Pelodiscus sinensis: one gene and its partner. The protein of the gene in region 1 interacts with the protein of each later gene in a biochemical or structural test. Links are inferred from orthologs where the notes say so. Each region holds a gene or a part of one and is shown on either strand. Other genes may lie near its edges. The genes, in order: TOM1 and TOLLIP.

Evidence for each region.
Region 2: the proteins of TOM1 (region 1) and TOLLIP form a complex in vitro, tested with the Homo sapiens proteins (3 studies listed by BioGRID and IntAct, with this or other methods). The link is inferred for Pelodiscus sinensis from reciprocal best matches to the Homo sapiens genes TOM1 and TOLLIP.

What each region holds. Positions count from the first base shown.
Region 1 is NC_134711.1:94,113,968-94,123,380, reverse strand, and holds the start of TOM1 (target of Myb1 membrane trafficking protein), read left to right. Parts: upstream 1-5,880; 5' UTR 5,881-6,037; coding exon 6,038-6,089; intron 6,090-9,413. Other genes in the region: HMGXB4 (HMG domain-containing protein 4), read left to right, coding at 1,868-1,912.
Region 2 is NC_134714.1:117,912,832-117,921,896, forward strand, and holds the start of TOLLIP (toll-interacting protein), read left to right. Parts: upstream 1-5,432; 5' UTR 5,433-5,557; coding exon 5,558-5,590; intron 5,591-9,065. UniProt on the Homo sapiens protein: Component of the signaling pathway of IL-1 and Toll-like receptors. Inhibits cell activation by microbial products. Recruits IRAK1 to the IL-1 receptor complex. Inhibits IRAK1 phosphorylation and kinase activity.

The DNA of each region.
Region 1 (9,413 bases):
AGGAGGAATATGAGAGAGGTCTATAAAATCATGACTAGTGTGGAAAAAGTGAATAAGGAAAAGTTATTTTCTTGTTCCCATAACATAAGAACTAGGAGTCACCAAATGAAATTAATAGGTTTAAAACAAACAAAACAAAGTTTTTCTTCATACAGTGCACGGTCGGCCTGTGGCACTCCTTGCCAGAGGAGGTTGTGAAGACCAGGACTTGAACAGGGTTCAAGAAAGAACTAGATAAATTCATGGAGGTTAGGTCCATCAATGGCAATTAGCCAGGATGAGTAGGAATGGTGTCCCTAGTCTCTTTCAGAGGCTGGGAATGGGTGACGGGAGAGTGATTTCTTGAAGATTCCCTGTTCTGTCCATTCCCTCAGGGGTATCTGGCATTGGCCACTGTTGGCAGACCGGATTTACTGGGCTAGATGGACCTTTGGTCTGACCCAGTATGGCCATTCTTATGTTCTTCTTATGAAATAGGAATGTTAAATATTGGTTAATTGAATAGTCGATTAACCTTATGAATTCTCATTGGTTACTCAATTATTCTATAGTCCCCCGGGGTGGGGCTGGCAGCCAGTGTGCTCCGGTCCCTCTCCTGAGGAGCCCCCTGCCACTCTGCTCTGCTGCCTCTGAATCAGAGGCAACACTGTAGGCTCCAGGTTTGAGCTGGTCTGCAAAAGGAGCCAGTTTAAAAACTGGCTCCCCTCACAGACTAGCTGCCTGTCACCCTATGTTGTTCCCTCTGATACAGAGGCAACAGTGTGGGATGGCAGCAGCCCCTGTCCGGGGAGTGGTCTGAGATCCCGGACCTGGTGTGAGATGGAACTGAGCCAGGCTGCCTGCCTGCCTGACTCCTAATACACTTTAAATGCAGAGCCGCAGTGGTGGTAGGTCCCGAATCCGGTGCAAGGCAGGACTGAGCCGGGATGCATGTAGTCTATAGCATTAACTGATGAGCTTTTTCTTATCAGTTAATCGACTGTACTATTACATCCCTATTATTAAATGAAACATTTTTTTTTGATTGAATGAACTGTTTTGTTTGACTGCAAAAAAAATTTTTTTCGGTTTGCTGAAAATTCTGAAAGTCTGTTTTGGATCCATCCCAAAGCAATTTCTTGTCGATTTTTGTTTTTCATGGAATTGCCAGAGAACTGAAAAATCTGTTATTTGCACAGATCTAGTCTGAGGCTTCCTTTGGGTAGCCAGCCATACCTCTGGGATTAGTGGTGTGCTGCAGTCATAGACACTACAGATAGAGTTGCTGCAACATGTTTGCTGAGATTCTGGGGACCACAGCAATGTCCTTTAAGCTGCCCAGCAGCATTTGCAGAGGAAATCCAGGAGCCCAGACACATTTTTCCCTCCCACCTTACTTCTGAAATTTTTTTCATTTTTCATCCTTTTACATTAAAAGTTATAGAGTTTCTCATGAGATTGTGTGGGCAGGGTGTTTTCCTGGATTCCCCTATTATTTCCATCACCCTGGATTGGGTCCTTCCTTGCTGATCTTCTGTCTGGTGGATATGGGCTCGTTTTGGTTTGTTTCCTAATTCATCTATGCTGCTCCTAGCATTGGCCATAAGGGATGGGGAATCATTTAAAGCAATATGAGATTTTCCCTTGCATCCAGGTGCCCCCAGTGAGAGCACCATCTTTCAACTAGGTCTCCTTGTATTTCCAAAACTCCAAAGGATAGCTGACAGTACTGGTAACATCTAAAAATGGGGCTGATTCCATGCTGTAGAAAATTACATGACAAGATGGGGATCTTCACATCCCATGGCAGCTACACTAAAGCATTGTTTCTGTAGGATTTGGGATCGTAACCCGTTCTCTTTAAAAATATTAAATGTTCTCTTTCCAGTCAAACACACTAGACAACATCGCCTACATCATGCCTGGACTCTGACAGGAAAGGATACTCGTATGTACCCTGCTTCCATGTTACAGACTTCTGTACATAGGCACTATACTGGCACTCTCCAAGGGCTCCATGTGTAGGGTTTTAAACTTTTCTATCTGTATAGTATATACATAGGATTGTAACTATTTTACTTTTATTAATTTTATGAAAAGTTGTGATGTGTAAGCTGAGAGAATCCTTTCCTGTTGGTGGGAGAGACCTGCTCAACATATTCTCCAGTCTGAAGTTTTTGAGTAATTGGAGTTCATAACACTTTTGATTACATCAGCCTTAAATTCAAAAAAGCCTTTTTTGGGAATTGGCCTGAGCCCAGACTGTTTGTCAGTGGACAAGTACACATGCTTGTTTATTTTGGATCAAGCAATTATTCTGGACTTGTCACCAGCCCTGTTTCTAACTTCTGTTGAAATGTACTGCTTTGGGGGAAGACTGGTTGGCTGATGGAAGATAGAGGCTTTGACCTGTAGGTCATTTTTTACAGCCCCAAAGTCATTAGTGATTGAAATTTGTTTGTCTGCTGACTGGTTGGTAACTTGTAATAAATAGTTCTGGAGATGGTGAAGAATCTGTACTCTTCTAGAGGACTTGCACCCACATCATCATTAACACTAGCTGTCAGCCTCAGAAGAGAGCCAAAGATTGAATGGACTAAGGGGAACAAGCCACCCTCTAATTCCTCCAGATCAAGGCTGTGCCATCCTGATGGGGAAGAGAGGGAAATAGGTGGAAGAAACTTGCACTGCCTCTGCCCATCTGTACATGTTTTGTATGGAGAGGACTTTGTTTCTATGAATGTTGATCCCATCGTCCTGTTCACCAGCAGTGTTAAGAAGGAGCTATGGAATCCTCCTGGTGCTGCTGTATTATCTTGAAACAATGCTTAATGTTAAAGGTTGAAGAGGTTCTTTCTGAGCTGAACATGGACTGAGTGGACAAATCCCATGAAAGCTACAGGAAAGCATTTGATTCTCACGTAGAGGTGTGTGCGTGGTATATTTAAGTTTTACCAGTATCTGTAACAGAGTTTAATTTATCATGTATATTTCTGTATATATGTGTGTGTGGATGTGTATATACATATATATTTATATATATATATAATTTAAAAGCAAAAAAGCCTTCCCTCTACAAATTGCGTGTGGAAAATATGAATCAGCTCATCCCCCACCTTGCCAATGGTAACTGTTTCAGTTGTTGCAGGCATAGACTTTGCAAGAGGGACTAGTGACAACAGGTTAAATTCTCGAAAAGAATTTAACCCAGGGATGTTGGGTGAAAGCTGAACTAGAGACCCATTTATTTTGGCTCCGGCCTCCTCTTCCCTTTTAACTTAGGGGTTTTAAGATAGCAGAAGGACAGCACTTCTGCTTCTGTTTTGAATTCTGGATTCTCTATTTTCAGTGGCAGCTGGAAATGAGCATTACCACTTTATGGCTGAGCTCTAAATCTTTTGTGGTTAAGCAGATCCTCGGGTGTGAAGAGGGAAGCTTTCACCCAATCCTCTCTACTATGTATTTCCCCAGCTGCACATACATGGTAGATGCTGTTTTTGCATTGCTTCGTCTCGTAATTCAATGCTATTTTATTGGTTAGTCAACAGGGCTGGGTTGGTGGATGAAACAAGAGGCTCTTATAGAGCATATAGAAGATCTGGGCCCAGGCCTCAGACTTAGGCATACACATCTCAAAAATATGTGACTATATATAATCCTAAGCAGCATTTGAGGGAGGCAGGGTGGACAGAAGGATCTTGGTGGGCCCTTTGGACCCTCACATGTCTTGAAAATGGCATAAAACACCTGACTGTTTCTCACTCTCCACAGTGGACAGTACTGTAGTGAATGATAGATATTCAGATCTCTATCTAAGAAACAGAAGGGGATCAATCAGCTATTATTTTTGATCTGTATAACAAACTCTTGAAGAGTTTTAAAAAAACAACCACACACATAAACCCTAATGTATTGTATTTTTATTTAAAATTTATAAACATTTGTATAATCTGTATCTTGTGGTATTTGGTACTAGAAGGAAAACTTTGGACCGAGACCTAGCAGTTTTTATATTTTTGTTATTTTTCTTGCCATTTGGTCCAGATTGCATTACAGTTGTATAAAGAAACCTTTTTGTACTGTACTTACATATAATATTTTTTAACATTTGGAGTATGTGTCATTATTATTTATAGCATGCTCTGTATCTTCTCCCCAATGCTAGTTATTAGTGTTCAGTATTACTAAACAGCACATCTGTTCTTCTAGCTTCTCCTGTTCAGGCAGTATATTCCAACACCAGTATATTCTAATATCACAGTCTGCTTGATACATCTCTTGAAAATTACTGATAATTATTTAGAGGCCTATTCCATATTTCTTAGCAGCATCAGTGAGAGACATGCCTGAGAGCTGTCATCTAGCATTGCAAATGTCCCAATGTTGAGCCATATTTCTGCCCCTGGGATCCTCCCTGCAACTGGATTTGTGTTGCAAGCAAAATAGTACTGGTGGTTCAGGATCAGTATGGTAAAACTGCCTGTTACAGAAAAAACAGGAATAGTACATATTGTCATAGTCTTTAAAAATTCTGTTTTCAGTTGAGAAACTCATGGGTCAGTTTCAGCCTCAAAACTTGTGATAGTTTGTCAACCTGTCAACCCTTGATATTGCAGAATATGACACTTCACTAACCCTCCTTATATTTCAACACAAGTTGACAAGAGAGAAATTTTAAAATACTTAACCACCTACCAAAACACATTTCACGATTCCACGAAAACCACTGCCTTATGTTCTACTTTGAGAGCTATTTAACATATATAGGCAGAAACATACATGCTGCAGGTGGTTGTCCTTTCCTCCTACTGTCACATAAGATGTTAGTTTATCATTTTTTTACATGATTAACTGATAAGCCTGCATTTACCGGTTACTCCAAATGACTACATGCACAACCCCAGTTTGCTGCTCTGTATCAGAGGTAATGTGAGGAGAGGTGGGAACTGGTGCTGGTTCCCTCAGAGCTGCCTCCCACAGAGGCAGCACCAGCACTGGGGGAAGTGCTTATTCATCCTGACAGGAAGTTTTTCCTAATGTCCATCCTAAACCTTGCTGCAATTTAAGTTTCTTGTCCTATAATCAAAGGTTAAGGAGAATAATTTTTCTCCCTTCTTGTAATACCCTTTTAGATACTTGAAAACGGCTATCATGTCCCCGCTTTGTCTTCCCTTTTCTATACTGAATAAACCTAATTATTTGTCTTTTACTGGATCTTGAATTATTTGGGGGCATTGTAATGTGATGAGGTGACCCCGGGTTCATTATTGCCCCATATTATGCCTTCACCAGGAAAATGAAAGCCTTTAGACCCACAGTCTAAAACAGGACTACGTAGCACTTTATAGACTAACAAGATGCTTTATTAGATCAAATCTGAGGAAGTGGGACTGGCCCACAAAAGCTCATCACCTAATAAACCATCTTGTTAGTCTTTAAAGTGCTACATAGTCCTGTTTTTTGTTTCACCTGCAGCAGACTAGCAGGGCTACATCTCTATTACTAGTCTAAAACAGGTGAGAGGAAGAATATCCCTTGTGTAGGAGAGTTCTGCTGTGCTCTAATCCACATGTAGCATGGAGGTGGGGTCAGATGATGCCTAATCTACTCCTTGAGGTGGGGGAGAACAGGGCCATGAGGTCTTTGTGGGTGAGGGAAAAGGGGGGGATGGAGGGTCACGTGTAGGAGCAGATAAAACTCAGGTAGGAGCGGCCAGGTCGATGGGGGGGGGGGGGTAGGTAGGGGACGAGGAGTAAAGAGCTTATTTCACAGTCCCCTGGTAAGCCTGTAGCATATTTGCCTCTGCAGTGACGACATAGTGTGAGGTCACGAGCCTAGCTTTGTGACGTCACAGTGTCCGCTTGTGCTACGGGCCCGCCCCTCCCTCCGCGCCTCCCGCAGACCGGCGCTCTCCGCCGGGCACGCCCTGGAAGGACAGAACGCCGCCTGCTTTCGTCACGCGTAGGCGGGGCGGCCAGGCACACCCCGTCCCGAGCCCGAGGGGGGGTCACGTGACGGGCGCCCGTGTCAGCTGATACCGGGCCGTGCGGCGGCGGCGATGGACTTTCTCCTGGGCAACCCCTTCAGCTCCCCTGTGGGGCAGCGCATCGGTGAGTCCCTCTGCCCCCTTCGCCCCCTCCCCCCGCCAAGTCAGCCCCCTCCTCTGGGGAGCAGCAGCGACAGCAGCTGGGTAGGCGCGCGCGGCTGGGCGGGTCCCACAGCCTCCTCGCAGGATTGACACAGTTCCGGCCAATAGAGAGGCGAGACTGATTTGACTGACGAGCGCCGGCGGCTAATGGGGGCAGGCGGGAAGGCGGGCCACGGGGGGGCCATGGGGCCAGCCAATCCCCGTGCACGGGGGTCTCGGAAGTTTTCTTATTTAAAGGGGCCCGGTGGCCAGAGCCGAGCCCTGTGCGAGGCGGCGGGGGCTGCGGATGGATGTGCCGCGTCACAGCACCGCGAGGCCTCCCCCTGACCCTGGCGACCCTACAATAACAACCCGGACTAGGGTTGCCAGCTCCCCCGGAGCGCCCGAGAGTCTGCAGCAGCTGAAGCCTAGTACTGTGCAGTCACAGATGTTACTTGTCATGTGATGGAACCTCCAGGAATATGTCCAACTACAATGGGCACCCTAGCAGGGACTACAGGCAACTAACTGAGTGTTGCCTGTGCTCCCACGTCAAGTAGAGGTGGCTGTAGCAGCAGCAGAAGGGTTCTTGGGGAACAGCCTGTGGGTGTCAGTTGTAGGGAGGAGAGCAGGTACCAGGGGAACTGTAATCTGCTCCCTGCCCTTGGAGCCACCCATCCCCATCAGTGCAATGACCTGGGTGGTGTCCCTGCTAGTTTGGAGGGGAAGAACACGTACTTATTCTGGCTTCACAGTTAGCTCTTCAGGGCAAGGGTTGTACATGCTTCGCTAAGTTTATGACACTAATAACCACATGTACCTGGCCTCACTGTTCAGGCTAATTCTTACTGAGCTCCTTGCACCCTCCATCTCCTTGTGGAGTTAGTCTTCTCCCTCCCTCTCTCCCCGGCCCCAAGACCCGTGATCAGCATTGTTAGAAATCCATGGAAAGCTTTGGCAAAAATCTGGAATTTTTAACAGGGAGGTTTTGTTTGCATTTTCTAATCTGTTTAACTGAACTCTTTTAATTAGGGCATCTTCCTCATCTGAAGAATGGGCTTATTCAGTGTAAACATGTTGGCTACGTCTAGACTGGAATGATTTTCCGCAAATGCTTTTAACAGAAAAGTTTTTCTGTTAAAAGCATTTGCGGAAAAGAGCGTCTAGATTGGCACGGATGCTTTTCCGCAAAAGCACTTTTTTGCAAGAAAGCCCCAATCGCCATTTGCGCAAGAGGGCTTTTGCCTGAACGGGAGCAGCATAGCATTTCCGCAAGAACACTGACAATCTTACATGAGATCATCAGTGTTCTTGTGGAAATTCAAGCGGCCAGTGTAGACAGCTGGCAAGTTTTTCCGCAAAAGCAGCTGCTTTTGTGGAAAATCTTTCCAGTCTAGACACAGCCGTTATGTTTCAGCAATATATTGATTTCCACTAATTGAATTAATTATTAGCCAGAGTTTTTGAAAGATTGGGGCCTTTTCTATAGCACCATGGTTTTACCCCAGTGCTTTATGAATAGATGAATTATTCCCTGCCCTATCAAGTTTTTAGGAAGGCAAGATATCAAAGGCATAAATGCATCTAAGAACTTCCAGATAAATAGGATCTGATCCAGTATAAGACCTTGCAAATCTAGAAAGAACAGCATTCTTCTTAGTCTTTTGGTTGAGTTTAACTAAAGAAAGGGAGGAAACTAATATACAATAAACTAAAACAACAAGAAATTGGAAAATTGAGAGAAAGTACAAAGAAGGACTGGAGAAACAAAGCTGGAAGGGAAAAATACGTTTTTAAAAGTATTTAACAAAGTTTTAATGTAGAATGATTTTTATAAAGACTTTATCTGCTTGTATGGTGTAATATTTTTTACTTTTTCAGGGAAACCTTGTATCTCTGGGCGGGGGAGTAAGTCTGTCCTTGGTTTCTGGTCCTTTGCTTGTTTACCTATCAGTTCCACAATGTTGCGTCTCAGACTGTAATCTTCTGCAGACTTTCTTTGACAGCCTGACGAAGTCACTCACTAATTGAAACTGTGATATTAATGACAGACTATTTAAGCACAAATTCAACTCAAGAATCTCTGGGGCTGCCACCACCGAAGTCTCTATTATGTCAGAGACCTACATTCTTCTCACCTTGGGGCCTTTTAATTCATTCCACCCTAATTATCCCTTGCTCTCACACACAGCTGGGACTACAGGTTGTCATTGGAGAAGAGGGTGCGGGAGTTTGCTTAGCTGAAGAGAAGAGGCAAAACCCTTCTGAAAACCCTTCTCTATGACCCCCATCAAAATTGTCCAATGGGTTTCCCCCTGATATTTTATTTTATTTGAATTCTTATAGTGCACTCAGCAGTGTGGTAGCTGAATGTCTTCCAGTTGTGTATTGAACAATGTGACTAATATCTGTCACATGCACAGACTTCTCTTCCTGAAGAGAGGATGAGAGAACAAGCAATGGAGTGACTTTACACATGCACACACCCATGTTGCTAGCTAATGTCGAGCACTAAAATAGGGTGCCTTGATTTTTTTTCATCTTGAAAAGCTGGCCCCATGTTTATGTGTGGTGTCATTCATTCCAAAAAGCTCAAAGCATTATGCAAACTATCTAAATAGAACAGTGTCAAAGTGTGTCATGCTCTGGAGTAGGGGCCAGCAGCCTGGTCCATGGTATGTGGTACAATGTGGGGGGGGTGATTGTTCCTACTATGGTGGAAAGTACCATGTGATCTGTAACAGACAGTAACCGCACATGTTGTCATTTATTATCTGGAGAACGTTCTTCTGGATCCCCCTAGAACAAGTGTCCCTTGATTCCTGAAGTGAGTGGATTCTGCATGTTACATTTAGTCAGGTTTGACTTGCCCTCCCTTAGATGCTGTCAGCTTTCACTTCTTTCCCTACTTCCTGTCTTGTTTGGGATGGCAACTAGGGATGTAATAGTGTAGTCGATTAAACTATTAACCGATAAGCAAAGGCATATTGGTTAATGCTATCCAGTGCTTTTTTTGTTAAAAAAAAATGATGCTGGTACTAGGGTTGCCAGATGGTTTTGTTGAGCAAAAAAAAAAAACCCGCCCTTTAATTGCTGCATGTCCTGAGTGGGCTTCCATCCAGCGCAGCACAAGTGCTCCCAGGGCCGGCAGGGGGCTGTGCTGGAGGAAAGTGGTGAGTGCTCACAAAAAAAGCACTGATGCTCTCAATTACACACATTTCCCTTTCTTCCCCTACCCCCACCAGTAAATTTTTAGACAGCTAGCCGGCAGCCTGGTTCAATCCCTGCTGGTGCCAGGTCCAGGAGC
Region 2 (9,065 bases), on another chromosome or scaffold:
TATATATTTGGAATGCTCTAATTGCACTGTTCTATTTCCAGCTGTTGGAATCTGCACTAGAATTTTAATTAATGATTAAATTCATGCAGCAGATCCTAACAGCAGGAAACAGCTATGTTATTTAAATAGGCTTTGAAATGATCAGATTTTATCTCCCAGAACAGCACTCAAAAGCTGCCTTTGTTCTTCTGAAAAGACTCAAATTGCATAATAGTTTGGAAGAGGTCAAACACTGAATATTCAGAAAAATTACTATAACTGGGCTAGCTACCATACAATGGTGACACACCTGGCATGTGGGCACAGGTGTTTCCTAACCAAGAGCCAAAAGTCCCACCTGCAGAATACCAGGAAGGAATATCTCCATGGAGAGTTTCCAATAAATTATTCTCTGACCAAATGGGAGGATATCTACTGAATGGGCAGGGAATTTGGACTTTGGAATCTGTGGGCTCTTAAGATCCACACACTGGGGCTATCTATTAGGTGGGCCTGTGCCTCCATGCGACCTCATGTACCCCTGTGGCTCTTATCCACTCCTCTGTCAGCATAAGCTTAGTCAGGATATGATGACAGAACTTCCACCGCTAGCTGCTGCCCCAGATCACCCTTGAAAAAAACATTCTCTTGAGGAGAGAGAATCTGTGGAAATGCTAACAACATAACTTGGGAGGTGATGTACCACTGCCATATTTCTGTGCGGTACTATGGTGACATTTTGTTGCAGTATGATAGGGCTATTCCACTACTATGCCCACATCTTCACTTGCGGGAAGATCAACACTGCGGTGGTCGATCTTTTGGTGTGTGATTTAGTGGGTCTAGTAAAGACCCACTAAATCGAACACCAAGGATGCCTCTGTCGGCACCGGTACTCCTACTCTTCGTGAGGAAGAAAATATTTTTCCTATTGACCTCCCTGAAGCTCAGCTTAAGGTACATCAACTCCAGTCACATTTTTTACATAGCTGGAATTGTGAACTTTAAGCCAACCTTCCCCCGTAGTGTGGACCTGGCCTATGTCACTGCATAGTATCAGGTTGCTGTGTTCAACACAGTGATAACATTTCAGCATAAGGTGACAATGATGATGTTTCCCCACTACATAGCCTCGCTGCATTACAATGCTGTTTCAATGCAGTGTTTAGCTGCCATGATTTTGTGCCACATTGTAATATGCTGTAGACATCTTAATGCCCTGATGCAGTGGTGCATCACAAAGTTTCAGTGGAAAGTGATGGTGATATTTCCTCGTCCCGTTGCTCCGCTGTGGCACCGCAATGCTATTTCAGTGCAGTAGAACAGATTTCTCAGTGCCCTATCACACTGATGCATTGCCATGATCATTTGGTGCAAGGTGATAGTTGTGCTGTGTAACCATGGTATTTCAGTGCAATGTTTCATTGTTGTGCCACCGTAACACGTCATAATAGCCACATTTCAGTGCAATGTGAGGATGATGTTTCATTATCCCATCACTGCATTATGTTGTAATGATGTTTCTTCATCGAGCAAGGGACACATTTTACCCTCGCGTCACCACGCTACATATGGATGGGGTTTTAAAGTAATGCAATGTAGATGTTTCACCTTCATTTTGTAGCACTGCATCACCATGAGGTTTTGGCACAAGAGAATGGTAATGGTGATCCCCACACCATCACCCTTGTGTCACGTTGTATGATGCTGTTTCTGCACGATGTGATGATGATGTACTATATTGTTGCACTGCATCACAATGATTTTTCTGTGCAAGGCTGTAGCGACGTTACACTGTTGCCTTGTTCTACTATCCCACAATTATATTTGGTTCAAGGCAATGGTGTTCAGCTGCTATATTGACATGCCACATCATAGCATTTCAGCAAACTCCGATGGGAATGTTTCCAGGGGTTTTGGCTATTGGTTAACTGAATAATCGTGTAACCGCATCAAATTTTACCAGTTACACAATTATTTGATAGTCCCTGGATGTGGAGCCAGCACTCAGTGTGCTCCTGGCCCAACTCCTGGGGAGCCCCCTGCTATCCCACACTGCTGCCTCTGTATCAGAGACAGCAGCATGGGAGAGCGGTAGCTCCTCTCTGTGAGGGACTTTGCTGCAGCCTCCCCGCTCTGCACTGCTGCCTTTGATAGAGGCAGCAGTGTCGAGGGAAGAGGAAGGTGGCGGCGGTGCACATGAGAAGCCGGGTTTTAAGATGGCTCCCCCTGAGCACCGGCTCTTGCCTGCCCCCCACCTCCACCCCCGCCCGTGCAAGAGACCACAAGGGAGAAGCAGGCGGCTCTGTGGAGCTGGCACACGTGGAGAGCTGGCTTAAAAGCCAACTCCCCACATGTATGTGCTCCTGCTTCTGCTCCCTCTTCACCCTATGCTGGTGCCTCTGATAAAGAGGTAGTAGGGTGGGAGGGAAGGGGCAAGTGGCTCTATGGGAGATGATACATGTCAGTCAGCTTGAAAGCGGCTTCCCATTTGTACCAGCTCCTGCCTGTCCCTCCTCCCACTTACCCTCTATCAGAGCCAGCAGCGTGGAGGGGGGAAGGGAGGGCGGGAACAGGCGACTCTGTTTGTGGGGAGCTAGCTTAAAAGCCAGCTTCCCATGGGCACCAACTCCCACCTCCCCACCTTGCTGCCGCTATATCAGAGGCAGCAAGGTGGGGAGGAATGTGTATAGTCAATAGGATTAACCAATAAACCCAGGCTTATCAGTTAATCATGTAGTCAGCTACACATTGACATCCCTAGATGTTTTGTGGTCAAATTGATGTGTTGTTTTAATGCAGAGGGATAGTGATGATGTTTTAGTGTCACGCTGTCACCCTCTCCTAATACTACTTCAGTGCAAGCAGATGGAGGTAATGTTTTACCCACACATGGCCATGCCGTATTCCAATGAGTTCAAGCACCTTGTCGTCATGACATACACAATAATATTACCTTGGAGTAGGATGGTTGTGTTTCAGTGCAAGGCAGGTGTTTCTGAATAAGTAGTGTCTTAGTGTGGGATCATTGGTGTCTCTCTGTGAGAGGGATCTTGGAAGAGGCTGTATTGGGGCAGGGTGGAGCTATCTCAGATGGAGGCATCTTGGGGTGGGCAGTGGAGTCTTAGCATTCAGTGGCAGTGTCCCTGTGTGGCATAATGAACATTTTGGTGATCTGGAACAAAGACACCACCCACAGAAAGGTAGTGTTCCAGTGTGGTGGCTCTTTCTGGGTGGCGGATTGTGCTGAATGAGGTCGTCTCACATGAGGCAGTCAGTGATGTATTTAGCAAGGCATGTGAGTGTCTGTGTGCAGTGTGGTGGTGCCTTAGGACAAGGCAATGGTCATTTTGGCAGGGGAGGATGGAATCACAATATGGGACTGTTGAGTCTGATGTCTCTGCGTAGGTCTATCTTGGGATGGAGGAAAGTTTTCTTTACACAGTAGCATTTTGGCAGGTGAGCAGTGGCCTTTTTGGTGAGTGATGGCAGAGTGTTGGTGCAATATCACACCAGCATAGAGGCCATTTTACTGAAGGGTGATTTTGCATGGATGTTTTTGGTAGGTGTAGGGACAGTGGCTGTTTTAGTATTGGGCTCTTTTTGGTGCAATGCAGTGACATCTGGGTGCAGTGGTCTCTCACAGTGGAGTCCTTGCCTGGAAAGTGCTAATCAGTGAACATTTCCAGATGAACCTTGGAGAGTTGCTAGAAGGCACAAAACATTGCTAAACTTCAGATATCCTGTATTATTAGTGTGTGGAAAACTAGGTGATCGTTTTCTTTCGGCCATCAACATGTGCTCCAAAGATGCAATATTTTGTTCACAGCTTGCACTATAGGCAAGAATATTATGAGATCTAGAATTGTTACAGCTGTCAAAACACATATATTTCAAATGGTTGTGGTTGAATTAAAGTACTGATGGGTTTCATGTGTTTTTTTTAAATAACGTGGATATTAAATATATTGTTTAACAACAATGATGAGAATATATTTTTCAAAATGGGGAGGGCTCTTTACTTCTAGTCTTTTCACATGACGTGTTCCAAAATAAGTTATAGGGAAAATATTACATAATTAAAAACCTGTTTTTGCAGTCTTGTAAGATGAATTTATTTTATACCACTGTGACAAAAGAACTTTGTGGGATAGTATGTGCCCATTTATAAGTCTCACCTGGACATTTGCCCAATACCTGGACATTTGCCCAATTTTAATTTTTCAGAAAAAATATAATTACAGTATATCTTTTTTTAAATAAAAAACTTTCAAAAAAGTCAAATAATACTTCTGTTAACCTACAGGTGTATTACTACATGCTACTTCTTGCACATCAGTATCTGATTAAAGAAATGTCAAATGTACAGAAAATTCTAATTTAGGTTTATTGTCCTGTTTAAGATGTAGAACAGAAAACCAGTATTTCCTTCTAGTAAACTGAAAAAACCTTGCAGAAAATAACTAAGTACAAATCATAGACAAAGCACAATAAAGTATTCAGCAAGCCAATATAGCTGGCAATAAAAACATTTCATGCCAATAATACTTAGCAATCCTTATATTTAACAAACCATGAGTTAAGACTTAATATATTACCGTAAGTGTAGAAAATTCCCTATAGAACGGGGTTGCGTTGTTGTGGAAAGGAGTCTGACTATGTAAGCAAATGGTTGTTTCATTTTTTAAAAAAAGTATTACAATCATCAGCTGTTATCTTCTCGGGGGAGGTAAGTAAGTAAGAGCAGATTTATTTCCGCAAAAGAGACTGTGAAAATTGCAGAGGACACACACACAGCACACGTGTCTACCACGTCACAACACACACACGTTCCTCACACAGTACACACACACACACACACACAGACACACACGTGACAGTGCACACATCCATGCCCACGTCACAGCGCACACGTGTCACGGTAGCCACTCCATAACTAGTGCTACGAACAGCCCTCTCCAGATCTCAACAGACGTCGCATCTGAGCGACCTAGCACCTCGGTCCCTGGCAGCAAGGGCCAGAGTCCCTGCTGCAGCCCAGCCCCATGCCACATCCCCAAGCAGAAGCCCGGCTGCACCGTCCCCTCGCCCATAGCTAATGGCACAGCGCCCCCTGCAGGCCCAGCGTCTCCTCCGTGCCGGCTGGCTCTGCGCCTGTCGCCCGCGAAGAGCGAGGCGGAGGGAAAGGGCACTCCCCGGTGCACAGGCGTAGTCGAGCCGTTTGAGAGACATTTCGCACGAACGCTTTGTCCCAGCCATGTCGCATGCGCATGCGCCAACCGCAGGCTCCTCTCGCCCACCCAACCCTTCTCAAAGGCAGGGGCCGGAACCACCTGAGCTACGCACGCGCATTACCCCCAAAGGAGGCGGGATCAGTGGCAACCCGCCGGGCGGCGCGTGCGCATGGGCTATCTAGCGGTTTGGGCGTGGAGGCGGAGTTTAGAGGGGGGAAAAGCCGTTGCGCCGCGCAGGCGCAGTGCCGAGTAAGCGGGGCGAGGCTTGTGCTCAGCTGACGCCGGAGCGGTGGGGCTGGGGGTCGGTTGGCGGCGGCCTGCTCGGGCAGAAAGGGGGTCCCGCTATGGCGACCACTGTCAGCACCCAGCGGGGCTCGGTAAGTAATCGCTGCCCAGGGCCACGCGGGGTGGGAAACAAGGGGTCTCCTCCGGGCCCGGTCTCCGTCCTTCCCACCATTGGCCGTGGGCCCCAGCGGCTGCCCTCTCGCCATAGCTCCCCCCCCCCCGAGCTGTGCGGCCCCCGCCCTTCGCCCCTAGTGTTCGGGCCAAGGGGCCCCCACTGCCAGCAGCTCCCCCCCGTGTGTGTGTGTGGGGGGGGGTCTGCCCCGTCTTCCCACCGGGAGAAGGGCCTTTAGGGGACTCTGCCCATCGTCCCCTCCCCCCACGAGGCCCCGGGGGGCTCTGCCCCTTCCCCCAACGTAGCCCTTAATCAGGCAGAGGAGGCGAAAAGGGGACCCGGGGGGAGCGCAAAGCGGCGTGCGGCGCCCTCCCTGCTCCCAAACGGCTGCCTGCTGCTGGGAAGGAAATGAGACGTTAGGGGGCAGCTGTCTGTCTCTGTTCTGTCGTGGGGACATCTGTGGTGGAGGGGGGTGTGTGTGTGTGTGTGTGGACGGGAGGGGGCTAGATAGCTTCCCCAATTATCACCTCTATCTTGGTAATGGGTAAGATAGTTTGAGTGACACTCTCCGGGAAGGAATGAACAAACACTCAAACTATCTTACCCATTACCAAGATAGCTTCCCCAATTATCACCTCTAATACCATTAGCTCACAGACATCCCACTCTCCCCACCTCTAATTTCATCAATTCACAGACACTTACCTTCCTTCCCCCCCCCTTGCATCCCCCTCCTGTTCTGAAATGTGATTTGTCCTTTTCATATGTGTTCACTTTTTTTTTAATTGTATCCTTTGGTATATATGGTTGTGACTATTTTCTTCCACTATTTGATCTGAGGAAGTGGGTCTGGCCCGTGAAAGCTCATCACCTACTAAACCATCTTGTTAGTCTTTAAAGTGCTACATTGTCCTGCATTTTGCTTCAGCTACCCCAGACTAACACGGCTACATTTCTATCACTCTTGAGAGAAGTGATTAATAGACTTCTGTTGATTCCTAAAACTGCTCTGTGTCTGGAATACATAATTCCCCTTTCTGTTCCTCTTTCCATAACAAAAGATAAGACACAATTTCTATATTTCTCTCCCTATAGTTTGAAGGGCGACTTCTTCCCAAACTGTAGTACAAGTAAATAACCACTAAAGGGTGCTAAAGCACTAAATATTAGGTTCCTTCAACCCTATTCTGTAGACTAGAGAATGTGACCTTTGTGTTGATGGTAGTTTATCCAAGCAGGAATAGTTCCAAGATTTTTCAAGTGTGGGTACCTGGCAGCACACAATAGCATTGGTGTCAGCAGTCAGCATATTCAATCTTATGTACATGCTTCCCAATTTGTAGCTCATTTATACATATTTAATAAGATACAAAGCTTGTCATTTAGTTTATCGGATGATGAAAACTGAAGTTCCTTTTGACTATCAGTAGCAAATGCTTAAGTGGAATATTCCTGAAGCTCTTGATAGTCTGGTGTCTTGACTAATAATCTTCCTTTCACAACAATATAAATTCTAATATGTGAGCTATGGATGAATTTTAGTGGCAGCTGTATTTTTCTTTGTAGTTATTATATGATCAGTATCTTGTATCTTTAACAAGTGTGGTGGATATGAGAGGTGCCATTAAAAAAATCTGTTGGTTGGATTTCAAATTATATCTGCGAGAATACAAAATTAATGATTCCTTAAAATGCTCCTTTTGCAGTCCATTTTATGTTTGTTGGTGACACAGTATCTCATCATTAAGTTGGAGCTCCTGACTGTTTTATCACTCAGAGCTCTTTTACTAAAGATGTGCTGCTTTTTCTGGATATAAATTAACTTTTGACTTACTGTTCTCTCATGTTCTTAATGGAAAGAATGTATGAGGAATCCTAATTTAACTGTGTTGCAGAGGGATGCACTTAGACCTGAAATGCCAGTGTCCAGTGATGGTAAATATCATCTAGCTATCCTGCTGCTGCTTGGTCAAGGATAAAGTTTGGGTTCTGCAATACATTTTGGTTCAGAATTTCTGATTGGAAAGAAGTGGATGCTTATAATGCCTCTATGCACTTAATATTTTTCAGCAGTTAAGGCAAACATTTACAACTTCATCGTAGTTGTGATATAGTGGTGGTCTCTGTGGGAATACTGCTGTCAGAAAATGTGCAAACTAATGTAGATAGAGCTACTTAGTGCTCATTTACTGAAGAAATATGTTTTCAGAAAGTTACCCTGATTGACTCAAAGGCTTTCTGTTAGCAGACAAGACTTTTGGATCTACGCAAAAAACTTTGGAAGAAAGGAAGGTTTAATGATGCATGGGATGATGTGGAAGAATTCAAAACTTCTCAGTGCAATCAGTACTGAAATTCTGAGAAGCATTTCCTCCTCTCCTCTCTCACAGACACATACTTTTAAAGCAAATCTCAATGTGAATTAGAAGCCTAGTCCTAAATCAACATTTTTCACTAAAGGAAAGTAAGACACAGAGGTTCACTATCTTATTAATGAGTTACTCAGTAAATCTGTACAGGTTGGAACTCTTTTAACTGGGATGGGAACATTCATGCTGCAGCATGGATGCTGCAGGAGCAGAGCGTCCCAGTGGAGGGCCAGTGACAAGGATCCCTGCAGGGCCGACAGAGCAGTTGGGGTGCCCACAACAAGCCTGCTATCAGCGCGTGGCAGCAGGTCTGGCCAGCGGGATTGGGGAGACATGCGTGTATCTGTCTGGTGGGGTTGGGAGCTGTGGTAGCTTGGTGGGGCAGGGATCCATGGCATGCAGCTATCTGGCGGGTCTCAGAGCCCCAGTGCAGTGTGCATGGCTGCCTGCGGGACCTGGAGCCCCAGCTCAGCATGTGCAGTTGCCTGTCGGGATCTGGAGTCCAAGGTTGGCATGTGAGATGTGGCCCAAAGCCACCGAAGTGATGGCTGCCCAGCAGGGTCCGCAGGGCATTTGGGCCAGCAGGAGGTGAGGAGCTGGCAGCAGCAGGGGGTCCACAAATGACCTCTTCTAGTCCAGCAAAATCCCTCAAGGACTGGACAGGTCGTGAGGGTGCCAGACCAGGGAGGTCCAACCTGTAGCTGAGCAGTAGAGCCCAGATGTCACGGAGCCCAGAGCTTAAATCTCTAAAAATACACATTTTATATCAATCATCGTAATGGAACATTAGTTTTGATCTTATTCAAAACGTCAGTGATGGTTTTTTTTATTCTCCAAAAGCTGTAGTTGTTCTTCACGCTCGTTTCATAGATACGATGGCCTTGATCTGGATGTTGTGAGACTCATATGTCTATTTGTAAATAGCTACAAAGATTGTTTTGAGTGAGATCCTGACTCCTATCAGACTTGATCAAGGCAGTCATTTCTGTATTTGTAAGTAAGCATTACAGAATCTAGTTGGTCTCTGATCTAGCTGTCCATATAATTAATTCAGCAGAAGTAAAATAATACATTTTAACTAGTGCC